3 linked regions of the Xenopus tropicalis genome follow. The protein of the gene in region 3 purifies or fractionates together with the protein of the main gene of each other region. This does not show direct contact. Links are inferred from orthologs where the notes say so. Each region holds a gene or a part of one and is shown on either strand. Other genes may lie near its edges.

What was found.
Region 1: the proteins of itga4 (region 3) and lgals1.1 purify together in Homo sapiens (affinity purification with mass spectrometry; 3 studies listed by BioGRID and IntAct, with this or other methods). This does not show direct contact. The link is inferred for Xenopus tropicalis from reciprocal best matches to the Homo sapiens genes ITGA4 and LGALS1.
Region 2: the proteins of itga4 (region 3) and itgb1 purify together in Homo sapiens (co-immunoprecipitation; 4 studies listed by BioGRID and IntAct, with this or other methods). This does not show direct contact. The link is inferred for Xenopus tropicalis from reciprocal best matches to the Homo sapiens genes ITGA4 and ITGB1.

The regions. Positions count from the first base shown.
Region 1 is NC_030680.2:122,667,212-122,670,088, reverse strand, and holds the end of lgals1.1 (galectin-1), read left to right. Parts: intron 1-668; coding exon 669-840; intron 841-1,929; coding exon 1,930-2,073; 3' UTR 2,074-2,324; downstream 2,325-2,877. UniProt on the Homo sapiens protein: Lectin that binds beta-galactoside and a wide array of complex carbohydrates. Plays a role in regulating apoptosis, cell proliferation and cell differentiation. Inhibits CD45 protein phosphatase activity and therefore the dephosphorylation of Lyn kinase.
Region 2 is NC_030682.2:22,885,401-22,889,059, reverse strand, and holds part of itgb1 (integrin beta-1 precursor), read right to left. Parts: intron 2,898-3,659; coding exon 2,742-2,897; intron 2,533-2,741; coding exon 2,437-2,532; intron 1,971-2,436; coding exon 1,881-1,970; intron 1,747-1,880; coding exon 1,606-1,746; intron 1,351-1,605; coding exon 1,148-1,350; intron 835-1,147; coding exon 596-834; intron 221-595; coding exon 1-220.
Region 3 is NC_030685.2:62,639,514-62,643,172, reverse strand, and holds part of itga4 (integrin alpha-4), read left to right. Parts: intron 1-428; coding exon 429-536; intron 537-1,993; coding exon 1,994-2,113; intron 2,114-2,587; coding exon 2,588-2,707; intron 2,708-2,966; coding exon 2,967-3,062; intron 3,063-3,659. UniProt on the Homo sapiens protein: Integrins alpha-4/beta-1 (VLA-4) and alpha-4/beta-7 are receptors for fibronectin. They recognize one or more domains within the alternatively spliced CS-1 and CS-5 regions of fibronectin. They are also receptors for VCAM1.

The sequences.
Region 1 (2,877 bases), on a different chromosome or scaffold from region 3:
AGACTAGTGCACGAGTTGGAAGGGAGGGGGAATAGTGGGTCAGTGTTTCAATTGGTTCTTTTATTTGTAAAAGATCATAGGTTAGAGTCTCATTTCATTTTAAATGTTTGTCTGCATATCTGCAGAGAGGAATGTGCAGTTAGCCGTTTCTAATGCATAAATAAGATAAACATTTAAAGGGGACCTGTCACCCTAATAAATAATTCCAAATTGTTTTCTATTGTGTTTGTCAAGAAAAATCAACTTTATTCACACCATATAAATTATTTAAATCTTGTTTCCTTCAATCCTGGAATTCACAATCACAGCAAGTAGGCAGGTGCCATTTTGGACATTTTGTTATGAAGATAAGCTTTTCATCATGCCAAAATCTTGTGCCAAAATGGGGGACCTGATGCCCATGCACTGGCTACACAATGCACGTATGCCTAGCCCTATATATATATACATAGTGCTGATAGTAGGGGATACTAATAAGTTTTAACAAGATTCTGTTTTAACAATGGCCTGTCTCCTAGAGCAAATAACAGGACATGGTCTAGATTACATGAGCTCCTGCTGGGCCTTGTAAAGGCACCTAATTACTGTACTGTTTAACACTAATTATTGTACTCAATACCGTTGGTTGTACAATACTTTCTGACATGTATTTTGTTTACTTTTTCAAGCTTTGCAATAAACCTGGGAAAAGATAGTTCAAACTATGTCCTTCACTTTAATCCTCGATTTGACCACCAAGGCGACAACAAGAAAATCATCTGCAACTCAAAGGAAGAAAACTGCTGGGGGAAAGAGCAGAGGGAGACTGCTTTCCCATTCCAACAAGGAGCAGAGACATCGGTAAGCATGAGCATATGATGGTCACATGATTAATGAATATTTCTGTAAAATGGTAGGATTGGCCTCCAATCAAGGCTGTTGGAGTTCAAAATAAAAGTCCAGAATGAAATATGCTATTTGCTGGACACTCTTTGGGATGTGATGCACCCAGGTGGTTCAGAAACCTGTATAAAACACATTTGTTATATGAACTGATCATGTGACTGGTGGATTAAGTGAATGGATTGAGGCCACATTTATGGTGAATAGAATCAGGTTATTCTGAGCATATACAAAATGTGAGAGTGATCCCGTGTCCTGACTATTTTGGACGAGGTGAATGATTCTTTCCTAAATGCAAATGATATATAGCTATCTCTTCCAGAGGGCACCCCTATTAATAGTGTCTTTTTATAATAGAGGGATGAGGGGAGCCAGGTTGAGTGTATTTCTAGTGTAGAATTAGGATGAGCATACTTTATTTCCACTATGTGGGGAATACAAGAGGACATTTACAATGCATAGCCCTTATTTGGCACCTCCAGGTACCTTTTTTATGCTTGTGGTGCTCCCCAACTCTTTTTACATTTGAATGTGGCTCACGGGTTAAAAAGGTTGGGGATCCCTGTTCTAGATACTCCTGAAACCTCAGCCTGGGCTCCCTTTACAGTGAGTTTTGGGATGAACATTTCTTTTATGTTTTAGATATTTGTATCCATCATAATTTTTCATATATATGCAACCTTGTTAGCTAAGGGGGTCCATCCAAATGTTAGACCTTAAACGAGGAAATAAATCCAAAAACGCAAAAAAACACTGCTCTAAGATCTGGTAATATAGCAGCATGAGCGTGTGAAGCATAAGCAAGTAGTTAGAATCAGGGAGAGCCACTGGAATAGCTGTGTAAGGGCCAGAGTAGCACAGGGACTGAGCATTGAGAACATCCCAGTGCTCCTTGTTAAAAGGTTTAACAGCATGAGGAAGAGTATGACAAGATTTGATGATGGATTTATAGTCAGACAAGTTATCCGGCACTGTCTTTCTGAATTAAGTCAGCATATTTGTCTTTATTTGTGTGACTTACAGCAATCATTATCTCTATTTTGACAGATTTGTTTTGAGTATCAAGCAGATCATTTAAAGGTGAAGTTATCCGATGGCCAAGAATTCACCTTCCCCATCCGAATGCCCTTGGATACCATTACATTCCTCTGTATGGATGGAATAGAGCTCAAGTCTTTTTCGCTTCATTAACAGCTCTGCGGCCTCCACAGTCAATAGAAGCCACTAGGCCACATATATAACATGTCATACAGGAAATGTTCTTCGACCCATAATGCACTGTCACTGACAAGCTGTGGGGAGGACTATATAGTTCCTAGTTAGAAAATTTTCTTTCACAAAAGCTACTAAAGCTTTATGTTATCTTATGCAATATATCCTTAGCAGATCTCTCTGTACTTACTATAAACATGAAGTAATAAATCTTTGTTTCATTTATTGTCTGTGCTTGCTCTTGTCTCTTGCTAGTGTTTTCTAAACTCTCCAGGACTGACTATATGCTAAGGTTACCCAATCATGTGAAATACCTGGGACACCTCTAGATATTTCAACTAAAGGGGCTACACTGATTGTTTTTATTTTTAGGCAATTGGTTTGCAATCAGTGCAGCACAGAAAGAGCCTACATTCATTTGTCCCTGGTTTGGTAGTGTCATGATATTTTTCTCACTTAGCACCCTACTGCTCGCTGAGCACCCACAGGCACAGATCTTTGCACTTCAGAATGGAGTGCAAGGACCTGAGTCTTGCTGATGAATACAATGCTCATGAGTTTGGCAGCACTGTATTCAGGAGGGGTGGCACACTGGTGACCTCTATTCAGCCTCCTAATTGCCCCCTAACATCATACATTCAACTACATCATTCAGACATGTTATGAGGTGAATTTGGATGAATGGTGATAGGGAGCTTGCTGCCTGCCTATTTTGGGTGTTTTTGTGCCCTTAAAGGAGACATATTGGATAAATGGGAAAACCCTAATTTTGTAGGCAATTAT
Region 2 (3,659 bases), on a different chromosome or scaffold from region 3:
TGCTCCGTACAAACACCAACGCAGGTCTGACACAGTTCACAGGTTGGTCCTTGGAATTTAGGATCTGTACATTTACACCTTCCACAGTCACATATTCCTCTCCCGTTACATATCTGGCCATTTTTTGCCATACAAGTGGAGGTATCCTCTGAGCAGTCACAAGCACTGCCGGAGTAATTGGGGAAACATTCACATACTCGACACTTGCACACGCCTTTACCTGTAACAAAAATATGGTTTGATTTTACAATTTCAAACATCTTTAGTAACCCTTACAACAGTTGCCAGTGAATGCAAGGAGTTTGTATGTTCTACTTATGCTTTGCAAAAGGAATGCTTAAAACACACAGGCAGGTTAACTGGATTCTGATAAAACTGACCCTAGTGTTCGTGTGTGAATGTGATAAGCACCTTTGATTGTAAGCTCCACTGGGGCAGGGACGGATCAGAATGATGCATAAAGTGCTATAAAGTGCTGCATGACCAGTCAGCACTCTATAAAGACTAATAATAAAGTACTGAGACTGAATGAATGCAAGACTGCAGCTGGTGTTTCTGCCCTCTGAAACATATAAATTATGTGATCGATTCTTACCTCCACAAATCAGCCCATTGGATCTGTCACAGTTGAAGTTGTCGCATTCACAGTACTTGCCGGAGTAAACTTCATTGGGATTGTCCCGTTTTTTGCACACACACTGGCCGCATATACAGTCCCCGTTGTTACTGCAGATTTCAGAGCTATTTTCTCTTCGACAATAAGCGTCCATATCTTCGCTGTTTACTTCATCGGTGCTGCATTCACACTCCTTCCCAATGCGCCCCTCATTACATCTGTCATGGAAACAGCATAGCGATTTATTATTTTATAGCTGAAAAGAGGAGCTGGATTGGCTGTGGATAAGATCCTGTTGTAGAGGCACGTTTACAAATTCCTTTTGGCCACTTCAACCAACTGAAGCTCTACTACTCTTATTTATTAGCCATTTATATCCACTGCACTATGAATAAAATTGGCAATTTAAAAATGACATGTGATGTATTAACAATATATACATTTAAAAAAATAAGGCATTATGCACAGAGGGATTTCAAGCCAGGGCTTTAAAGTGCACTGATGCCCAATAAATGCAAGGAAGCACAATACCTGCAGGCACCACATTCGAATGTTCCATTTCCATGATGACATTCAGGGCTGTTGGGCGTCCCTTTTTCCTGGCAATCACATTCACAGATGAACTGGAGAACAATCTCTACTTCTTCGGTAAATCCAAGTGGTTTGATTTTTATGGATTCCGCTTGTCCTTTTTTGGGGCACTTGTGAGCTGTCACACTAATTTCAAATTCCACCTGTAAGAAAGCAACTCTGTTAGTATCCACTTACTTGGACACATTATGTACTGCACCGCACATCCACTTTGGTGGACATTGCATGATTTTTAACCCAAACAACCTTTCCTGCAAGCAGCTGCTTCACATTTGTTTGAATAGGAAAAAGGGATGCCTATGCTGATAAGCAGGGATTGCTTGCATGAAACAAGCAAATAGGTTTACTATAGTCCAAATCAAGGGGGTTTCATAGGCCTAAATGTGTTGGGAACTCACCTGATCTCCAATAGAAATGTTTGAACATTTCCTTCCATCCTCCCCAGTTCCCTTGACTCCATTCTTACAGAATGATTTATAGCTGATTGTTACACCCTCTGGCAATTTGCTGTTTTCCAAAATAAGTTCAGAGGAAAGAGACTGGAAACAAAAAGATCACTTAGGATTATTTTGGATTCCAATAGAAATGAACAGAGAGCTATGAAACAGTAATGAACAAAACTATAAAACCAAAAGTGCCGTCAGGGGTATGGATACTTCTGGCAGATACTTACATTATAGGAGTCAATAATCAGTTGAATCACATTGCTGGAATTTGAGGACAAGGTTCCCACAGCTGATTTTGGTATCAGATTTTTCAGCTCCTGTCAAAAAAACACAAATATGGATAATGTTACAGAGCCATTAATGTATTAAAGTTAACATTCCACTGTCCGTTTTCCGTTGCTCAACAGAAAAGGACAAAACAATGGCAGTTACTAGCAATCATACAGCAGCGTCTTGAAAATACCTTTGATGTTAAGAGTCATATATGGCAGCATTTAGCTGACCACCCCAGTAGAAATTTCTTCCATAGCAGCACTACTTACCACCAAACCTACTCTGTTCACTTTTTTGTTCTATTCTTTCTCTGCTATTCCCTTCTCTTTCTGCCCCCCTTCTCCAAAACTCCCATCCTTCTCTGACCCTTGCACTTTTCCCTTCTGCCTCTGATCTTTCGCCCCTCCAGTCTTGTTTTTGTCTCCCAGACCTATTTTTTTCCTCTTAAACTCAAGTAATTATTATTACTATTCATGTGTATATACCATAGACATAAACAAATATAAATACCTGGTAGACTGGCTGGAAATCCTCTGTAACAGCAAAAATGGTCTGAATGTTGTTTTCACTAAGTTTCTGAACTAGGTGAGCAATTGAGGGATAGTCCTTAAAAATAACAAAACAAAACAAATGAACACCCAAAAATACAATTCGTATCTACAGTATTTTCAATAATACACTGAACGTAAAAAACAAAACAAAAACAAAAAACACACCTGTAGATTACCGAATAATCATTACAATTATGTAGAAAACAGTAATTGTGAAGAAAGTTATTGAGTAAAACGGTAACGTGGGCAATACAAGATACGTACATAATAGTGGCTCATTGTGTACATGTTCCCATGCAAATGACATTTGCCATCATTTGGCAATACAATGCCGCCTAATTTTCCATCTCCGGCAAAATGGAATCCTGCGTCAGTTGAGAAGACCAGCAAGCGTGTGACATTTCTCCAACCAATTTGCTCCTTTAAGAAAAACATTAAACAGAAAATGTTAATCGTCACATAACGTGGTTTCCTATTCTGGGATTTGTAATACATAAGTACATGTAGAATATATATCACTATATGGTGCTTTTTTTGTAATCTACGTTTCATTTGCTTTGTCCACTGTGAATGTGGAGATCTGTAAAATTCTGCGCAAAACAGAGGTGCTTGTTAAATTATTTGCCTTTCCTGACCCTAGTAGTAAAAAAAAAAACAAAAAAAAAAAAAACTGTTCCTCCTTTATGTTCCTGTCTCTCTTTTAAAGCACTACATGGTTGCCAGGTTAAATTGGATCCTAGCAACCAAATACCTTCTGAAATTCTAAACTGGAGAGCTGCTGAACAAAAAGCTAAATAATTCAAAAAACTGCAAATAAATATGAAGTCCAGTTGCAAATTCTCTCAAAAAGCACTCTCTACATCAGCGCAGTCTAACTGGAGGCCCGCAGGCCGGCCGTGGCCCTTCAAAGGATCTTTATATCCCCCAGTCTGCTCAAACACCCCATTGACTTCACTATATGACATCATTTGAATTGAATTGTGCTGTATGAGATAAATAGCCTGCTACATGTTATAAGTTGGACAACATTGCTCTACATAATACTAAAAGTAAAATTAAAGGTGAACAACCGATTTAAGCCACTAAAACATGACACTGCTCAAAGGTGCAGAATTTCAAGCCAGAGTAAAATAAATGTGTGAGCTATCTATATGGGGCGGCGAAACAAACGCTGTTTGACTT
Region 3 (3,659 bases):
GCAAAATCTCAGTAGGTCCCACACCATCCATAAAAAGCCTTCTGATCCATTTTGCACATTTCTATTGAAATGGAGAGTCATTGAGGGCCATCTATTCTGTGGCTCTGCCCTTACACCACTGCCTAATAACAAAACACACACCAGTTATATTTGTCCTGGGAATATAGTTATTATTGTTGCAGTTTGATATCAGCTCTGGTTTGTTTGCCTATCTTTAATTGGTTATCTAACCAAAGCTCCACCCAGTCTATTCTCATTGGAGTTTTAAGTACTGCTTATTAATGACCAAAAACCCCAGCAATAGGAAATCACAGGTACAATTTAAAAAGAATATTTATTTGAATGCACTGACTTAATGGACATATATATATACATTGCAAACCTTATGGTGCTGCCACCGGTAACTGTGTTGCTTTCTTTCCTCTAAGGTCATTAATGCTGGATCGAGTCTGGTTCCGGCTGCAAAGCTTCAGATATCGTTGCCTAACACATTCTCACCAAATGGCGTGAAACTGTTAGATATTTTGGCTGTAAAGGTATGTTAAGCGCATGTGTAGGTACGTTTCCTTGACCCACTCTGTCTTCTTCTATCTAGTCATGTCAGTGGGTACTCAACCAATTGTGTGTTACAATGAATGCTAGTACAACACACAAGGGTTAATAAGGGTTCTCAAGAGAAGGATAGTTAGGGGGTGATTTATCTACAGTCGAGGTTGATTTTTCTTCTCGGGTCGAGTTATTTTCCGCTTCAAAATCTCAAATTGGAGTTATGGTTGGAAAACTGGAATGTCAGGTATTTCCTGAGTACAAAAACCCAGAAAACTTGAATGTAAAAATTTGCCATGTAAAAGCTTGCGAGCTTCTATAGATATTATTAACTCTAATTTTTTGGAGTTTTTAAAGCTTGTAACTCAAAATATTCAAGGTTTTTGTGCCAATGAGTTTTTCTTATTAATAAATAAGCGACCATTCAATATGTGAGTCCACTACAAAAAACAACAAACAAATATAAAAGTGTTTATGCCCTTTGAATGGTGCAAACTCTAATGTTATTAATCCCACCCTAGGACTGTTAGTGGGTTGTGCACTTTATTTATCCCCCAACACAGCAGTTTGGGTTTCAGTGGTAAATAAAAACCCTCCCCTTCATTCATTACCTCTTACCCCATACCAAAGTGTGTCCTGGCATCTCTGTAGATGTTCTACTGCTGATCTGGCTGACTACTTTGAAACTCAAATAAAATGTAACAGTAGTCAACTGTCCTCAGTCTGCCTTCAGCCTGCATCCTCCCAATTCCACAATTCCATGCACATCAGTGTTTTAGTCCCTCCTCCCCTGCCAGGATTTCAAATGATACAGAAAGAGAAGAACTGTTTTGCAGCAGGATTTCAGCATAGAAAAATGGTATTTATTCATACTTTTAGAAGGAACGGATTACACTAGGGGTTTCTGTGTTGTTTGGGGCTCTTTAATAAGTTTTGGTTCGGAAGCCAGAGTTCCCCTTTAAAAGCTTATTTATCATTTTCAAATTTGCTAAATTTAGAGGCTTTTTTCCAATTTTGCTAAACTTATATGTTTGCTTATTTATTAAAAATTTCAAATATAATAAACTTAGTTGAATTTAACCATAAAAATAAATCAAAGGCATCAAATTCTACCCATAATTTTCAATGTTTTTTTTTTTTTACAAACTGAAAAAACTTGAATTGAACCACATAAATTTTGCCCAGAAACAACTCCCACTGACTTCTGCCGCGTGTGGCTGCACTGAAGCGGATTCATTATTTTTCAGTGCAGAAACATGGGTGTCACTCAGCCTGACGGTAAAACCCAGGGCCAAGAGAAAGGGATCCACGCTTGTGACCTGGCCCTTAGTCCATTTACTACATTTACTAAAAAAATGAATGAATGCTCTTGCAAATAGGGAAAATAATTCAGTTTAGCTGCCAACTGCAGTGTAGTTTCATCTAAAATTCTACTTATTCCTTGCAGACAACCGTTGGTGAATGCTATTTTGACAACTACACAAGGGGCTGCGAAACACCCAAAAACACTCGCTCAAAAGTTGGTGATCTATTTGCATTTTTTTCCAGGCCGGACAAAAGATGGCTGGTGAGTATTAAAGCACAACTCTATGAACATTTACCTGTTTTTTTAAAAAGGGATTTAAATCCAAAAAATAAATTAATTTGAACTTACTGTAATTTACATTCATTTTCTCTTTCTGGTGTTTTCAAGCATATTAACATTGTAAGACTGCTGCCCAGGCCTGTACAAGCGCATGAATAAAGGCTAAAATGGGAAGCAAACAAAAAGAAAAAAGAAGTGTGCTAGATCATTGGCATATATATACAAAATGCGGCATACACAAGGTGTTTTCCACCCAAAAAGTAACTAGAATAGCAAAAGAACAAAAGTTTTTGTGTTTGTGCCTTTAAGAATTAACATTTATTTCATACGATTAAATTAATCGTATGAAATAAAAGTTAATTCTTAAAGGCACAAACACAAAAACTTTTGTTCTTTTGCTATTCTAAAATGGGAAGCATTACAGATATGTAACAGAATGTCTGCTTGTTTCCCCAGTACTGCATGAAAGATGATCCTTCTTGCATTCAAATTCTGTGCCTGTTTGGGGACATGGAACGGGAAAGTAAAGCCACTGTGGAAGTACAGCTTGAGATCAGTCATTCATATTTAGAAACAGTAAGTATATATGTACCAAAAGTTCCTTGTATGTAGGCACTCACATTCCCTACATCTGAATCCTATAGAAATAACTGGGATTCTTTTAAATCTCAAAATGAATCCTGGATTCGGTGCATCCCTAAAGTCAGCATTAATACATACAGTATATAGCTTTAGCCCAACACTATTCTTCTCATTCTGTTTGCCAAGCCTGTTCCCAGATATTGTTCTTGCTTTCACTAATACAATTTGTATTGCCTTCTTGTTGTTACTGTAGGATGAAGCCACGCTAATACAGTTTTTCACAACAGCTCAAGCAGGCTTTGAAGATAGCCCTAAGATCATCAACCTTAACCAGGATCATCATGCATATGTAAGAACAAATCAACAGCCTTCTCTAAAGATGTTATAATTGCTTACAAATCCTGCCTTGGGAGCCTCTGGCCCCATAATTCTGCTGTATCACAACATAAACCAACAGACGGGGGTGGGGGTGTTCGGAAATAACCATTGGAGTGGTCAGAAGTACTAATTACAAAGAGCAAACAATGCACTTTTGGTTTGAACATATGATAATGTGTCGAGTTAAATCCAGGGCTGGCAGTAAGGATAAACAAAGGCACAGCTTGTGGGGGGCACAATTTTTTGGATCGATCATCCTCCCAATCGAGGATGATAAAGGAAGGTGAGAGATAGCAAATAACCAGCTGGAGGAGGAAAGTGATGGGTAGGGTTTGGTAGTAAGAGGCCAAGCTACCCCTCTGGGAGGTGTATGTCACAGGGGGGTTGGTGCAAGCAGACATGAGGCTAATGAGACGCTGGGCAGCAATACTACTTGGCCTGGCTATGTTGCATTCCCTTAAACTTGCCATAGTTTGGGGGGGTAAGTTTTTTCTGTGCTCAAAAGAATAATTCAAGTGCTGAAAGGACCTCAGACCTTTATAATCAGCCCCAAAGAATATTCATTCAA